2 linked regions of the Diceros bicornis minor genome follow. The main gene of each other region encodes a partner of the protein of the gene in region 2 in a complex. Links are inferred from orthologs where the notes say so. Each region holds a gene or a part of one and is shown on either strand. Other genes may lie near its edges. The genes, in order: PELO and HBS1L.

The links.
Region 1: HBS1L (region 2) and PELO share a complex: the UniProt entries of both Homo sapiens proteins name them as parts of the pelota-HBS1L complex. The link is inferred for Diceros bicornis minor from reciprocal best matches to the Homo sapiens genes HBS1L and PELO.

Annotation. Positions count from the first base shown.
Region 1 is NC_080759.1:22,673,015-22,676,645, forward strand, and holds PELO (protein pelota homolog), read right to left. Parts: upstream 2,283-3,631; 5' UTR 2,278-2,282; coding exon 1,552-2,277; intron 1,257-1,551; coding exon 825-1,256; 3' UTR 633-824; downstream 1-632. UniProt on the Homo sapiens protein: Component of the Pelota-HBS1L complex, a complex that recognizes stalled ribosomes and triggers the No-Go Decay (NGD) pathway.
Region 2 is NC_080762.1:3,276,591-3,280,508, forward strand, and holds the start of HBS1L (HBS1-like protein), read left to right. Parts: upstream 1-987; 5' UTR 988-1,103; coding exon 1,104-1,146; intron 1,147-3,918. UniProt on the Homo sapiens protein: GTPase component of the Pelota-HBS1L complex, a complex that recognizes stalled ribosomes and triggers the No-Go Decay (NGD) pathway.

The sequences.
Region 1 (3,631 bases), on a different chromosome or scaffold from region 2:
AAATAAATACATAGTGTGGCAGCGCAAAGAAACGGGGACTACTTCCAGCTTTGCCATTAGCCACACAGCAAGCAAATCACACACCTCAGTCTCATTTTAAGAATAAAGATGCCTCAAATAGATTATCTTGAGAATCCCTAGCAGATCAAAACTCCATGATCTAAAAATAACTGATTAAGTGGTGCTCTAAAGCAAATATGATTAATTCTAATGAAAAAACACCTAGAGCTTACTTTTAACATGATTGGTTTAACAAGTCTCTTAAGAAAAATACCATTTTAGACTTGTCTTCAAAAAAAGTCTACTAATTATTTGGCTATCATTTAAAATAGCAAATAAATTTAAAAATTTTAAAAAAATGGAGTGTAGGAGAAATGGGAAGAAAGGGGATCATTAAACACAGTGCAAGAAACACTATGCAGAATTAAAATAACGGAAACCGAGGATAATGAAATATTAAAAGGCTTTTCCTAAGGAAAACTATTTCAAAGCATCAAGTATGGGGTATTATGATCTATCCCAAAGAATATATAGGCATTCTCATTAAATACACAAAATGTTTTTAAGTATTGCAAAGAAGTCATAATTCCTATATAAAACTATCCTAATTAATAAAGATGGTATACCGAACATGGAGATTATTTCCTTTTAATTTATTGTTTGGTCTGAATACATGCCCTGCCAACCACAAAATACCTAGTGAGATTAAACACATGAGAAATCCTTGTAAGAATCACAAAGTGCCACAGCTCCCTGTCACAAGGATGCTGAGAAAATGTAACAGTGAAGAGACACAAGGTTGTCTCAATCATAAGTTCCAATCATTAATCTTCTTCAGAACTGGAATCATCCTCTTGGTCAGAGAGTTCAGGGACAGGGAAGCGGAGAATGGCAGCTACTCCAGTCAACTGGCTGAGCTGCTCCCCAGATACATGAAGACTAGAGAATATCCTAACAGTGCCTGCATTCTCTTTCACCCTGTCCACCAGCCTCACATACCGGCTCCGGGTGGCTACATCCTGGTGCCTGAAGAGCTCATCGCTGATGAGCAATGTGTCAATGGCCATAGCCTCATTGGCCTTCTCCACCTGCCTGAGTCCATAAAAAGCTCGGTCTGGTTCATGTTGTAACATCTTATAGAAGTCATCCAAGGCTTTTACTTCCCCAGCAGCTTTAGTGTCTGAAAGGCGGCTAGCCACAGTAGGGTCACAAAGGGCCTCTTTCAGGGAGTACTTGTGTCCAGAGGAGGCGTGTACCTAGAAACACAATTATAAAAGTTAGACAAAAGAATCTCTTAGAGCACCCATTAATCAGCCCACGATGACCTAAAGCCAAAAGCACTCAGAAAGCTTTATACGTTGAAGGCCTTAAGCAAAGTTTACTACATAAATTTGCTAGCTATTTAACAGTTCCCTTTTCATTATCTCATTTACAATCCCAATCAAGTAAAGACTTTCTCCTCTTGTACTTCACCCAGTTCTAAAACTTTAGCAGTAGTTGATACAAATCCCTCTGCCCATTCTTAATCACCCCTGGGTAAGACTGTTTTACCTGAAGGAATTTGGACCGGTTTTCCAGGAGCACTTTGTTGTCAGTCTTCACCGCTTGTTGAAACATGTAGTCGCAGAACTGCTCCCTCACAAATCCGGGGCTGGCCACCAGGATGCACTTTACAACATCAAAGTGTATGTGGCGCTGGATGGCCTGGACCACCTGTTCGTAGAACCGCTCCAAGGCTCGGTCATGCTGGGAGCAGTTGCCTTTCCGTTTCCGAGGGATGTTCACCTCCACCTTGGCCCGAGTGAGGGTCATGCTGGGAGTGACTAAGCAGATATGGGCGAGGCCTTCCTGCATAACTACTGCTGCCACATCGGCGCTCCAGGCTGGGTCACAGGCCTGCTCGATGCGCTCCAGAACCACACTGTCCCACTGCTTCTTGGCCAGGGTGAACTGGCGGTTGGGCTCCAGCTCGATGGTGTGGTAAGCCCCCATCTTGACATACTCATTCTCTTGGATGTTGGTTCCCTTGACCCGCAGCTGGCAGGCTTGAGAGTCGAAGTCGATGGCCTCCACGCAGAGAGTGAGGGTGGTGCGGACCCGGTTGCTTCCCACGCTGCCCGTGGAGGACTCGGTCTGTACCTTGCGGATGGTGGAGGCGCGCAAGCTGTCGCCCACCTGCACTAGATTGTAGGTGTGCCACATGTCCTCGGGCTCCTCGGGGACCAGGGTCACCTGGCCCGCATTGTCTTTCTCGATGTCCTTCCTCACGAGCCTCATGACCCTGGCAGCGGCTCACTGCCAGAACAAGAGGAACCGAGGGGGTCCCCACCGGGAAAGGGGCAGGGAGGGGAAAGGAAGTCTAGGCCGGGAAGGGGGCGGGGTCCGGTTCCTATAGCACTTGCCTGGCGGAAAGGAAATACTCTATCTCCGACTCAAGCGGCCGCGGGGAGCACTTACTTTAGCCTTTCTTCTCTCAGTCTCGGGCACGCCGCGCCAAACCGGCGCGAGACCCACCGCAGCGAACGCCGTACTCTCCGCGGTTCCAGCCGCCAGCACGGACCAAGTGGCTGATGCAATGAGGGCGCATGCGCATGTCTTACGCCCCAAGGGGAGGCGGGGCCGCAGTTTGCGCGTGCGCAGGCGCACTAAGCGGGGAGGTGCTCCCGACGTATAAACCAGCTGAGAAAAATGCACGGGCTCTTTGGTGGCAAGTCCTTTATTTTAATGCTGACCTTTGACTACCTAACTTTTCTCTTCCATCCCTGTTTGTGAAGAATCTGAGGAATATGTGAGTGCAAATATATTTTTTTCAGCTGCGCGCAGTTGCCACTCTACACCTTCTCCCTCTGAGTAAATCCAATTTCAAAACTTATCTAAAAGTCAAAGGAACTCTCAAAAGTGCAGACTTGGCCTTAACGGTCCAAACTGTGCTTGGCTTTGCTTCTGCCTTATCCGCATGCAGAGGCTCCACGCCTTTTGGAGCTGTTGTGTCCTGAAGTTGTTTGTAAGAACGACTGGTCAGGTGGTTCTGGGCGCTGAGCAACGTGCCCAGCTGTTTTCTGCGCTTAGTCTGCACGATCTGATTAACCCAGATGTTAAAGAACTGATCCCAGAGAGAGAAGAAATCATCTGTGGAATTTAACCCTGGGTGGACCTCTCAGTTGCTTGACCTGATGTCCTAGGAATCCCATAATCCAAAATTGGCTGTCTCAGCTTTCCGCAGCTCAGTGAAATGTTTAGGGTGGCGGTTGGGTCGCAACAGCTTAGGGTAGGATCTTCACTGCTAAAGCTGAACTGAGAGCTGAGGATATGGGAAGTGGGGATAAACCTGATCTACTGTGACCGACCCCGACTGAATAGCTACAGAATTGATTTGAAAGAAAATCCTTAAGTCACGTAACATTTTTTATTTAAGGCGAGGGGCGGGGGTAGGCGGAGGAGTTTGAGAAATGGCAATTACCTCTTAAAAAGACCAGTGAATAGAAAAAGCCCCCCAAAGTTTTCTTGAGAGTTAAAATGGGGTGGAGGGCAGAGGAGTCCTACACACGTCTTTACATTCTCTTTCCTGTCTTATTGTGCATGGCATTGAAAGGAAAGCTTACCACCCTGAACTGGTGAGACGGGGATGAAA
Region 2 (3,918 bases):
CAAATGCATGCATAAATTACATTTCAAAACAAAGATATGAATTGAATGTGTATTATTCTCATTTCTTTCTATTATGGATAATAGAAAGCTGATTAAGCTTTTAATTCATTTCTAGAATTTGAGATTTGCCTTTGATGTAAAGTTATCACCATTTCAAAAACACAACCTAAAACTGAAATATACTTTGTTTAGTATGATAATGAGGTTGGTTTTTTACATGGCATCATTCACTTTGTGTTCTAAGAAGTGAGGACATTTAATAGTCGGTTATAGATTTATTCATCAACGTTCATCACTACCATCCAAGGCCAGTACTGTGTCCAAAAAGCTATATTTAATACTCTTATTATGTTACACATGATCGTGTGTTCAGAAGGCTCAATGAATCCTTCTTCATGCTGCTGCTGCTAACCGTTTACACGGCCAAGGGCAGATGGTCGTTTACTGGAGGCATTAGTGCAAGAGGAGCACATACGTGCAACTAAGAATCACACGAAAGCACGGTGACCTACTGCAGCCAGATTCTCAATTTAACCATATATACCCACTTAAAAAGGGTCCTTTCTTCCTCTCTAACGCTTGGACTGATTCTTAAAACAAATGTACACAAGTTAGTTAATGCTTACGTCCCTAAGCAGACCTCAAAGACGAAAGTAAGTTGGATGAGACAAGGTCCCTGCTCTTATTCAGCACACAGTCAGCTTTTTCACTACATTATCAGAAACTAAACTCGGAAAATAATCTGGAACACGGGCATAGATCAAAGGATCCGGCTCGTAAATTTGCTCCAAAACAACAAATTGTGGGCGGTGCAATTCCGCCCCTTTGAAACTCCTGTCAGTCACGCAGTCTGTGGGCGGGGCCACGCCGAAACGCAATCTCCGTGCGCGTGAGTGCGCATGCGTCCCGGGGGAGGCGGGTGACCCCTAGAGGTTGCCGTCGCGCGTGCGCAGGTAAGACGTCGCGCGTGCGCAGGCGCTCGGCGCAGAGGCCTGCCGGAAGCCAAGATGGCGTATCGGTGTTCTCCAGGCCGCAGTTGGCGCCTTGTCCGTGTCTGAGCGGGTGTTTCGTCAGGGGCTGTGGCGAACGCCCTCTCCGCCGCCATGGCCCGGCATCGGAATGTCCGAGGCTATAACTACGACGAAGGTAGGTGGCAGGGTCATGCGGGGAGGTCACTGTCGCCGTCCCGGCCGGGCTCCCTGCCCGTTGGCATCCCCTGGGCTCTGGGAGCGTCCCGTCGGAGGGGCCAGGAGTCAGAGGAGGCTCGGCTGGAGGAAACGGCGGGACCCCGATGCCGGCGGTGGCATTGTTTGGGCGGTGATTCTGCCCTCGGGGATCGGTCCTGTTTGGGGCGGGGGCCGCGCTGCCCGGCGGCGTGCGGGACGACGTGTGGGAGGTCGGCCCCGGGGACTCCTGCACGTAAGCGTCGTCACCTCCTGCCTCCCCTGCCCTCCCGGGTCGGGGCGCGCCGCCTGCGTCGAGCTCCTCCTCCCCGACCCCCATTTCAGAAGTGCCATATGTTCCTTGTTTGTAAAACACGGGGTGTCTTAAAGGTTGCATTCATCTGTTCTGCTGTGCCTGTTAGAGCTACGTGTCAGTCTTTTGTGTTTGTTCACACGTTTAGTGCAGAACCTGGCTTCATCTAACTGATTAACTTACGTTCTGTGAATTTCAAGTTAAATTGGAAACTTAGGAGACGGTAGAAAAGATAGATATTAAAAAGGCCCAAGGAATAAGTCGATCAGATGATCTGAGGGGTATACTCAGTTCTTGGTTGATGATTCTCAAAGTAAATGTATTTTGAAATGGAAAAAAAAAGCGGTACTAGAAGGGGGCTTTGAAAAGGACTTACTGATTTTAAAAAATGAAATAAAAGGAAAAAACATGTATATGAATGTTCTCTAGGCGTTTACAAGGAGTTAGAATGTTTAGGACAAGCATAGCATCTCTATGCAGTGGATAATTATAGGCATCACCAAGCATCATACAAACTAAAATTATAAACGTATATGAATGAGTGCAGCAGAGGAGTGAAGACCTATTGCTTTGTAAAGTGCAGAGCATGTAGTGTGCTTAATATGTTGGTGGTTATTATTGACACTCCCAGCAGATTATTCTAGAACATCAGTGTGCTCTCACCCTCGAGGGTAGCTAACACCCTGTGCTACGTTTCGAGCCTGGGACCCAGTCATCCTGGCACACGTTAGGTTCCTGGTGTTCACTTCAGAATGCAGGCCGCCCTAAGTATTGCAGTGGAGGTAAGTATTGCATGTGACGGTTATTACCTGAGAAATGACTTTAGCCCACGACATATTTTTGCACGTATGATACAAAAAACGTGAATAGGCCTAATTACTACTTATTCATTTTTTAAATAAATATTTATCATTTCCTCAACCAACATTAATTGAGTGCTTATTCTTCATTAACTGAGTGCTTAGAGTACTGTTCCAAGCTTGGGGACCGATGGTAAGATGTTTGAGGGAATCTTAAGAGGGAGATGATTAGAGTATGAGATGCTGCAGAAAGGACTCACACAGTGCTATGGGAGCCACTTATTCAGAGTGGGTTGGGGGAGTTTAAGCAGGCCTTCTATGTGAAGGAAAGCTTCCTGGAGAAGAGGTGCTTGGCCTGAGGGAGTGAGTGCTACATATCTTCTCTTCTTGGCAACCCCAGGTCAGGTTGTCGTGGTGTCATGTGTCTTTGGAACAATTGATGACATCATAACCAAGCTGTTCCTTGTAGCATAAGAGGTCCATCCCCTTTTCCTGCGAATAAAAGTTATACTTACTTTAAGAGTCCAGTTTCTTTCTTTTCTTCCCAGTTAAGCTTGCGCTTGTACTCTGAGAATAATAATTTAAAAATTCTCAAAAGTCATATAACTGATTAGAGAGAGTTTGTGCTCCAAAACCGATTGGTTCCTCTGTTTAACTCGCGCACTGTCCTTCTCTGTAACTTGGGTAGTACTTCACGTGAGTACCTCAGCTACTGGTGTAAAAGTGCCAGGAAGGCAAGGTCTATGCTTTATGTTGATATTTACTCCGATGCTTCACATGCAGTAAATACTCCAGAATTTTTGTCGGGGAAAAGAACCACTTTACAAAAATCCTAGGAAAGAATTCTCTTCATCTTTTTATAGTGTAGCGCTTTTAGGGTCAATTTCAGTATTGAAAAACTGACCTAGTAAAAAAGATTTTGTCATTAATATCTAAAAATATTTTTTGTGAATGGCTTATTTGCTAATAAATTGTTATTAAATTGGGATTGTGATCTAATAATTTATTGGATGTTACACACTTTTATCCAATAGTGGTATTTAGCTAATTTTTCTTTGCTGTATACATTTGGTCTCCGCCTTTGAATATGCTGTTCCTGCTGCATGAATACCCTCAGAAATTAGCTAGCCATCCTTTGGGATTGTTTTAAATATTATATTCCCGGGAGTTTTTCCCTAGCCACCTCACTCCCCATTCTATTTTTGTTGTTCATATGTGTGTTCCCAGTAGCTCTGTATCTCTCATGTCAGGCACTTGTCGTGTGGTTTTGTAATTGCCCGTTTTCTCTTCTGTGTTCCTGGTTACATTTTAGGTTTGTAGGGATCTGGGAATGTACCTGTCACTCACTGTTGTACCCTAAATGTCTCTAATTGTCCATGGTAGTATTTGTTGAATGAATAAATACATTTATGTAAACATATTTATGTTCTTTGTGGGTTTTTAGTTTTAAATTGTTTGATTCATTAATTTATAATAAAATATGTATTAATTTGTGCCAGCTATGTGCCAGGTAGTTGGCTACACAGTGTCTTACCCTGAAGGAGCTTAGAGTCTCAGGGAGTGAAGCAGGTACAGTGCTTTGAAGACAGTCAGTTGGAGGAGTGTGCTAGAGAGTAAAAGTGGCAGGGGTGGTCAGGGAAGA